Linked DNA regions of Tribolium castaneum. The protein of the gene in region 2 purifies or fractionates together with the protein of the main gene of each other region. This does not show direct contact. Links are inferred from orthologs where the notes say so. Each region holds a gene or a part of one and is shown on either strand. Other genes may lie near its edges. The genes, in order: norpA and trp.

The links.
Region 1: the proteins of trp (region 2) and norpA purify together in Drosophila melanogaster (affinity purification with western blotting; 3 studies listed by BioGRID). This does not show direct contact. The link is inferred for Tribolium castaneum from reciprocal best matches to the Drosophila melanogaster genes trp and norpA.

The regions. Positions count from the first base shown.
Region 1 is NC_087402.1:4,187,870-4,192,213, forward strand, and holds the start of norpA (1-phosphatidylinositol 4,5-bisphosphate phosphodiesterase), read left to right. Parts: upstream 1-1,387; 5' UTR 1,388-1,534; coding exon 1,535-1,699; intron 1,700-1,745; coding exon 1,746-1,943; intron 1,944-2,028; coding exon of another isoform or gene 2,029-2,108; intron 2,109-2,227; coding exon 2,228-2,307; intron 2,308-2,398; coding exon 2,399-2,638; intron 2,639-2,687; coding exon 2,688-3,091; intron 3,092-3,140; coding exon 3,141-3,571; intron 3,572-3,618; coding exon 3,619-3,769; intron 3,770-3,816; coding exon 3,817-4,214; intron 4,215-4,260; coding exon 4,261-4,344. Other genes in the region: uncharacterized protein LOC103312731, read left to right, coding at 1-198. UniProt on the Drosophila melanogaster protein: The production of the second messenger molecules diacylglycerol (DAG) and inositol 1,4,5-trisphosphate (IP3) is mediated by activated phosphatidylinositol-specific phospholipase C enzymes. Essential component of the phototransduction pathway.
Region 2 is NC_087402.1:543,176-547,738, reverse strand, and holds the start of trp (transient receptor potential protein), read left to right. Parts: upstream 1-1,729; 5' UTR 1,730-1,794; coding exon 1,795-1,892; intron 1,893-2,195; coding exon 2,196-2,346; intron 2,347-2,401; coding exon 2,402-2,640; intron 2,641-4,118; coding exon 4,119-4,320; intron 4,321-4,367; coding exon 4,368-4,563. Other genes in the region: trpl (transient-receptor-potential-like protein), read right to left, coding at 524-704, 752-894, 945-1,182, 1,244-1,368, 1,413-1,424. UniProt on the Drosophila melanogaster protein: A light-sensitive calcium channel that is required for inositide-mediated Ca(2+) entry in the retina during phospholipase C (PLC)-mediated phototransduction.

The DNA.
Region 1 (4,344 bases), about 3.6 Mb from region 2:
ACCACCCAAAAATCAAAAACTAAACCACCCTATTACACCTTTAATCATATGAATGCAAGTATGGCTGGTAAAACTCTAGTCGGGGATAAAACCTTGGTAGAAATGCCCCCTTATGGGTTTAAGAACGTTGGCTCGATAGGTGGGTCAGGGAAGAAACAACCCAAATTGGGCACAAAGCGACTTAATAAAACAAAATAAATTATTTTGGAACCAAATATGAACGTGTAATGTGTTTCTTGTTATGTAATTCGGTTAATAAAGCGTCTCAAAAGGATTAAAGTGCGCTATTATTGATTTATTGCTAATTAAATTACGGAGGATATAATAATAGACGAGTCAAGAAAACGTTTTATCGGCTTGGTTACAGTAATGACAGACGGTTCTGCGAGGCAGGGCGGTAAGACTTTTTATTTTTACAAAAATAATATATATAATATATATTATATTATTATATAATTAGAACATTAATTTTTCATTTATTTCTATTATTGCAAAAAGAGACTCCAGTTTCCTTATTGAAACTGCTTATTCTGCGGTTTTGTCAAATTCTGGCAATTTTGGCCCCCTGCGTAAGCCACTGTTCCGCTACCTCCTGCCAAATACAAAATTCGGAAGTAAAATTACCGTTGGGGGCGCCACTGAGCTAGGTCGAAAACAGTAACCATAAATGGCGGGAAAATGTTTATTCGGATATTTTGAGCGTTGTACGAATTTTGGGGCTTCACAATTATTGCATTGTCTATGCGAAATGATTATTGTATCTTTGATGCAAAGAAATTTATGTTGACAAATGAGAGATGACGAGGAAAACACGAATAACGAATGACTTTTTGGTTCACTTTCTTTATTGGAAAATTACTACAAAGACATTGAAAAGCCTACCTTTTGGCATAATTTACGTTTAAATGTATCAGCAGTTGTTAATCTTTATTGTAGTTTTGTAGATTTACCGCAGTATTTCATGATTTTTTCAGTGGAAAATTCTAACCTAAAATACACACACTTCACTAATTTATTGGTTTCTTAAGCCAAACTATGTGTTCACTGTGATCCATTACTTATAATCTTTAATTAGACAACTGTTTGATAACACTTTGTAATCAAAATTTAAATATTTTTCACTTTTTATCCACTTTCAAGTTCCAACAATAAACACTTTATACCGCGAAAAACTACAGAACCAAAGTCAACGCTAGTATTTACCACCACGTACTTTTAAAGTGATTCTTTCTATTGTAAGTAATTAACACTATACACGCAAAATTGTTGAACAATTCATTAAATGTCAGTTAAATGTGGAATTTTTACTGTTTTCGACAGAGTTCAAAAGTCATCACCAGAGGGCGTCTAGTTAATTTTATTTCTGAATTGCCGCGCTCGCTTATTGACGTCTGACGTAACATTTGACGTAAATGTCAAATAAATAAACATGTCCCTTGCACAAAGATGAGTTTTTCGTGCTCGCCGCTTAACGTTTTTACTTTTCGTTGAACTAGCCATGAATATCGTCTAATTGTCTTGCATCTAGCCGATCATGACGAAAAAATTCGAGTTCGATTGGCATGTCCCCGTGCCGGAGCCCCTGCTCACGGGCTGCGTCGTGGACAGGTGGTCGGAGGAGCCCAACGAAATCGAATGGAAAGCCCTTTTCCGGGTGGACGAGTACGGATTTTTCATCTATTGGAAGAGCGAGGGAAAGGTGAGGTGGCGGGTTTGTGTGGAGGCGGGTTCATGGGGCTGTTTAGGAGGGCGACGTCATCGAACTGTGCCAAGTGAGCGATGTGAGGGCCGGTGGGCTGCCCAAAGACCTCAAACTGTTCAGCCAGCTCGAAAGCCGACACGGGCCCGATCTTGAGAAGAGATCGCTGACCATCTGTAGCGGGACCGACTATATCAACATTAATTACCAGCACATCGTGTGCCCCAATGCCGAGACGGCAAAGGTGGGTTTTGCCTCCTCCCTTAATGTAAAAAAATCAATAAATTTGGCCACGTTGATTTTTCGAAATTAAAATTTTGCAATGTTAGGTTTGGTTGGACGGTTTGCGAAAGATAACACATAACGTGAAAGCCAATAACTTCTGTCCGATGACGTGTTTGAAAAAACAGTAAGTTTCCGCATTTAGGGAAAAACTTGCGCATGTGAATGTCTGCACTAACTTCTGCATGTTTTCGTTGCGGCGACACTTGATTGTTTATAAATTTGTTTTTTGCATGGCTTCTGCAGATCTGGCAGCAAGGTTTGAGGAGCATTACTCACAACAATAAAGTTGTTAACGTTTGCCCGAGAACTGCCTTGATGAAACAGTGAGTTTTTGTACATAGTTTCTTGGGGACGTAGCTAGTGTTGCTTGCATACAATTTTTTTGAAACAATTGGCACAAGTGATTTTTTCCAGTTGGATGCGACTCGGTTTTCTGACCGATGCCAAGGGTAAAGTGCCCGTCAAAGTCGTAGCGCGTACTTTCGCCTCCGGCAAAAGTACAGAAAAGTTGGTTTATCAGTGTTTGGCCGACTTGGATCTACCGAACGGCAAAAACGCAGTCATGGAGCCCGAGCAATTCACCTTCGAGAAATTCTACACTTTGTATCACAAAATCTGCCCTCGGAACGACATCGAGGAGCTCTTCCGCAGCATGTAATGCGCTCCTATCACGGAAACTATATTCCAATTTTGTAAATTCTAGTACGCAAGGCAAAGCCGACTATATGAATCTCGAGCAGTTTATTAATTTCCTCAACGAGAAACAGCGAGACCCGCGTTTGAACGAAATTTTGTACCCACATTATGACGCGAAACGAGCGTCCGAAATAATTGCCACTTATGAACAAGACGAGGAGGCGAAGGCAGCAAATAGGTTGACAAAAGACGGTCTGATTAGGTATTTAATGTCGGACGAAAACGCTCCGGTGTTTTTGGACCGTTTGGACATCTACATGGATATGGACCAGCCTCTATGCGCCTACTATATAAATTCTAGTCACAATACGTATTTAAGTGGCCGCCAGTTTGGCGGTAGGTCTTCCGTTGAAATGTACAGACAAGTATTGCTGGCGGGGTGTCGCTGCGTCGAACTCGACTGTTGGGACGGTAAGTAATACAGCGTGTCCAAAAAAATGGGCAATAGCAAAATATTTAGGCCGAGGCGAAGACGAGGAGCCGATCATAACCCACGGACGCGCCATGTGCACGGACATCCTCTTCAAAGACGTAATCTACGCAATCCGAGACACCGCTTTCGTAACATCCGACTATCCCGTAATCCTCTCCTTTGAGAACCACTGCTGCAAAAGCCAACAGTACAAGCTCGCGAAATATTGCGACGAAATCTTGGGCGATTTGCTCCTCAAAGAACCACTTCCTGACTATCCCCTTGAACCAGGCCTCCCGTTACCGCCACCTTCATGCCTCAAGCGTAAAATTTTAATCAAGAATAAGAGACTCAAACCAGAGGTGGAGAAACAAGAACTGGAGTTGTTCAGACAGGGGGAGTTCGTTATCGAAGATGAGGAAAAAGAGGATGCGAGTGCGTCCGCAGACCGGCCTATACCACCGGATATTTCGGCTGAAGTAAGTTGGGAAAATTCTGTATGCAACTCGTGCAAAGTATGATTTAGACACCGGCGCCCGATGGGGGGGCTGGTGACGGGGACATCGCAGCGCCGCCTATAATACACACGGGGTCGACTACTAATGTGCATCCGTGGTTGAGTTCGATGGTTAATTATGCCCAACCTGTCAAATTCACTAGTTTTGATTATGCGGAAGGTACTATCAATTTTAATTATCAACTTTTTCTGATTTTATTCATTTAGAGAAAAACATACATTACAACATGTCAAGTTTTTCGGAACCTGTCGGCTTGAATTTGCTCAAGACTCAGGCGATTGAGTTCGTCAATTACAACAAACGCCAAATGTCGCGCATTTACCCGAGCGGCGCTCGGGCCAACTCGTCGAACTATATGCCGCAGGTTTTCTGGAATGCTGGTTGTCAAATGGTCTCTTTAAATTTCCAAACTTCCGATCTTCCCATGCAACTCAATCAAGGCAAATTTGAGTACAACGGCAACTGTGGTTATTTATTAAAACCGGATTTTATGCGACGTCCCGACCGGACTTTCGATCCGTTCGCTGAAAGTCCAGTAGATGGCGTTATTGCGGCCCAATGTTCGGTCCAGGTGATCGCTGGGCAGTTCTTGTCCGACAAAAAGGTTGACTTTTCGTTGGATTATCCTAGGTTTGATTTAGTGTTTTTAGGTTGGTACCTACGTCGAGGTCGATATGTACGGCTTGCCGACCGATACGATCCGACGCGAGTTCCGAACTCGGATGGTTCCGGCC
Region 2 (4,563 bases):
ATCAAACATCAAAAAATCGAACATATGGACTTTTTGTGGACTTTTAACAACTCTAGAGGGATGTACAGGCTCATAAAAGTCCATAAAAGAATGATAGAACGAGTTAAAAAATTTTTTTTCACCATGAAGGTAAGTGTATAACTCAGGAAATTTTAAGCAAAAAAATTCAAAATTTTAAATCTCGTGAAAAGTTGGTATAATACAGAAAATGAGCCGCTGAATTCATTGGAACAAACCGCATAGCTCTACGACTTTTAGTTTTTGAGTTATGAATTTTTTTATTGAATAAAATTTTTCATTATAGAAATTGCCTATTTTAATTTTTTGCAAAAAATTTTAAAATGTCAGATCTCGTTGAAAGTTGGTTTTATACAGAAAATGAGCCGCTGAATTCAATGGAACAAACCGCATTGCTCTTTTAGTTTTTGAGTTATGAATTTTTTTATTCTAAAACTTTTAGTCTAAGTTTTATAGTTCCGGAGTTATTGCATGATGAATGAATAAAAATTGTCTATCTACTTACCGGTTCAGCAAACGCCAGATTCCTCAATTCCCACGACAATTGAAACGCTGTTAAAATCGGATCACTTGACGAAAGTGCAATCAAAGACGGACTTGCCAGAGCTTTGTACTCGTTTAGTCTCGCTAACGAGTGTCGTAAATAATCCTCTTCAGATTCTTTGATACATTCATCACATCCACATCTACGATTTTTAGTTATTTTTATTTATTTTTTTATTTATGGTCGTACTTGATATCATGTGGCATCGGAATAGTCGCTCCTCTGTCTAACAAAATTTTCAAAATTTCGTAATTATTTCGATGGGCGGCCAAAGTCAAGGGAGTGATATCAGGTGTGAACATGGCAGTGTTGATGTCAACTTTTTGCCAACTCTGCAAAATATTTGCTCAAATGAAGCAAAATAAAGTTAACAAAAACTTACATAAGGCTCCCCATCTTTGTGGATCAACTCCTCGTGTTCCAACAAAAGCTCAACAGCTTCCACAAACTCTACGTGAATAGCATGCAGAAGAGCATCTCTAGTTTCCACTCCCATGATCACCAGGAGTTCCACCATTTCGAGATGCTCTTGGTCGATGGCAATCGATAAAGCACCACGTCCTAGACTATCCACACAATTAATATCAAACGATTTTTTCCGGTGGGCTTTTTGCAACATTCTGGAAGAAATAATCGTGTTACTTATTAAATTGTGTTGGTGGTTATTATTTATTCCATTACCGGCGAACATTTGCCATGTCTCCACGTTCAATGGCCAATAAATATTTTTTTTCTTCAATTGAAAGTGACTTGGGCAAGTTGGGCATGATTAGGGTCTTGCGTGTGACTTTAGCCTCAACATCAACCTATCACAAGACAATTAATTAGGGGAAAATTTAATGAAACTTACCGAATCCCCCATTTTGCACAAATTTAGGCGATCACATTACTCTCTAGAAAAATAGGGCGAGTAATAAGTTAGTAATAATCTTGTAAGCGCTTATAACTATGGTCTAATCACATTATTGTCTTTATTAAATTAGATTACACCAAACGAGTGCATTACACTAACCGACTTTTTGGTAAAATTACTATTGGTTTAAATGCAATAAAGCAACTAAGAAAATTGATTGCGCCAATAAGGAATTTTTGGTGATTTTTTCCAACTCAAAACTCCTATTATATAACGCTCCTGGGAGTAATCCTCTTGGCTTTGTCCCGCATTTTAATTCAATTAATAGTGAGGGTCAATACAAACTTGAAAGTATTCTCGATGCGACAAGTGATTGAAAATGTTTGGATCTGATTGTAATAATGAAAGGGCGTTAAGTCAGGTGGAAAAATCGTTTTTGCTTCATGCCGAAAGGGGTGATTGTGCTACAGTTCGCAGGTAATTTTTTATAGCATATTTCATTGTCAGTTGTTTTGAGTGGGTAAAATTGCACTTTAACAAGGGTAGATAAAATATTATTTTAACACTAATTTTTTTCTATTAAATTACTTATTGAAAAAATGTAGTATACATGACAATAAAGATGGTTGATGGTCTTTTAATTAATTATAATTTCAGTTTTCCATTTTTTTTGTTTTTTCTTTGCTGTTTTAGAGTTTTTTAATTTTGTTTTTGTATTCCATTTTCTAAGTTTTTTGCTTTTAAAAATAAACAAGAAATTAATTGCGAAAAAAATAATAGGATAATTGAGGAATATGGTGGTGGTGAGGGCGATCAAGAGTTTGATATAAACTGCATCGATGCTCTAAATCGCTCAGCGTTCGTTATAGCAATTGAGAATGGAAATATCGAGCTGGTGAAGCTTCTCCTTGAGTCGCAGATTGACGTTAAAGTAATCGCAAGTAATAATAAGTTTTATTTTTAGTGCTGCGAAATTTTAATTGCAGGATGGATTGCTTCATGCAATAAATGAGGAATTTGTGGAAGCGGTTGAAATGCTTTTAGATTGGGAGGAGAGGACGCATCAAGTTGGCGATTTGTACAGTTGGGAAAAAGTCGAACGGTGTTCGGCCACTTTTACACCTGATATTACACCTCTGGTCTTAGCCGGGCATAAAAATAATTACGAGATTATTAAGCTGTTGCTGGATAGAGGAGCCACTCTTCCATTGCCTCACGATGTCAAGTAATTAAATTGAAAAATGAAAAATTACACTATTTAGGTCGAAATTTCTGATTTTTTGACTAGAAAAATGTGCTTAATTTCGACTTAATTTGGTGTTTTTTTTGGTAATTCTCTTAGTCTGTTTTGCGCAAAATGAGAGATTGTACAAGAACAAGTTTAAACCGAGGAGCCGTTTTCAAGTGCATAAAACTTTGCTTTAGTGATTTAAAAAAACTGCAACCGCAATGCTCTACGACTTTTAGTTTTTTTTTTATGAATTTTTTTAGTGAAAAACTTTGATCGCTTCTGTAGCCAGAACCGTTGCCCGGAGGGGCTCCGGGTTTGGTCGAAAAAATAAATAAAATTAAGCGCTATCAGATGGTTTTTTGCTCGTTGCTCTAAGTCTTACAGTTTCCGAGAAAAACGCAAAAAATGTTTCTATTTTCACTTTTTTTCAATTTTCAACCGCCAATTACGGCCAAACTATTAGAGTTATCGAAAAACGGAAAAATCGTGGACAACCGGAATAAAAAACTCTACAAAATGGCATAGGACTCAAGGCGATATCTCGCAAAAAAATTCAATTTTCATACGCCGATTACGGCCAAACTAAAAGAACTAGGAGAAAACGCTTTTTTCCATCAGAAAGAGCACATCAAAATCTATAAGATAGAATAGGTTTTATTTGACTTTGAGACATTTTTAAAATTGACCGATTTTAAGGGGGGGGTGTTAACTTTTTTTTAATTTTTTTATTTTCTCATTTACGGTTAAACTATTTTAAAATGTGGAACTATTTTGATCCATATCTATGCAAAATGATCCGGGGAATCGATTGGCATCGAGAAAATTACCAAATTCCGAATAGTTTTTTAGTTATGAATTTTTTAAAATTTCACCAATTTTTGCATTTGTCAGCAATTTGCTCGAAAACTATAAGTCAGAGAACATTAATCTTTTTTGAAAAAAATAGATAATCTAAAGAGCTTTCCAACGATAATACACTTCATGGGATTATCTCTGATAGTTCCGGAGCTATTGCTCGACACATGTTCCGGGTACCCAAAATCGACAAAAATTACGACGAAAATTGAAAAAATCAAACATAAAAAAATCGAATATTTCACTTTTTGTGGACTTTTAACAACTCTAGAGGGATGTAAAAGCATATAAAAGTCCAAAAAACTATAATAGGACAAGTTTAAAAAAAAATAATTTTTCCACCTTTTTGAAGGTAAGTAAGTGTATTAAGCAAATTTTAAGCAAAATAATTCAAAATTTTAAATCTCGTGAAAAGTTAGTATAATACAGAAAATGAGCCGCTGAATTCACTGGAACAAACCGTTTTGCTCTACGGCTTTTAGTTTTTGATTTATGAATTTTTTTGTTGAATTGTTTTTGTTTTCTTCTCAACTTTTTAAAATTTGTACAATTAATTCGGCCTCTCGGTTCAAACGTTCGAAAATTTTTTTTAATTTTTTTCCTGATTAATTTTTAAGATGTGGTTGTGACGAATGCGTTTGCTCAAACCAAAGTGACTCTTTACGACATTCTCAAGCTCGGATCAACTCCTACAAAGCTCTAACATCCCCTTCACTCATTTCCCTCTCATCCACTGACCCTCTATTTACTGCTTTCGAACTTTCGGGCGACTTGAGACGTCTCAGTCGACTAGAAACCGAATTTCGAGCCGAATATAACGTAAGTTATTTTTTTTCTAAACCCAACTTCACCTCACTCACTTGTAGAACATGCGAACTGTTGTGGAAAATTTCGCAGCTTTGCTCCTAGACCATGTAAAAACCTCAGAAGAATTAATGATTCTGTTGAACTACGACGAAAAAAATCCTTCATGGGTTTTGGGCGAACAACAAACTTTGGGACGCTTAAAACTCGCCATAAAATTTAAACAGAAAAAATTCGTGGCACATCCCAATGTCCAAC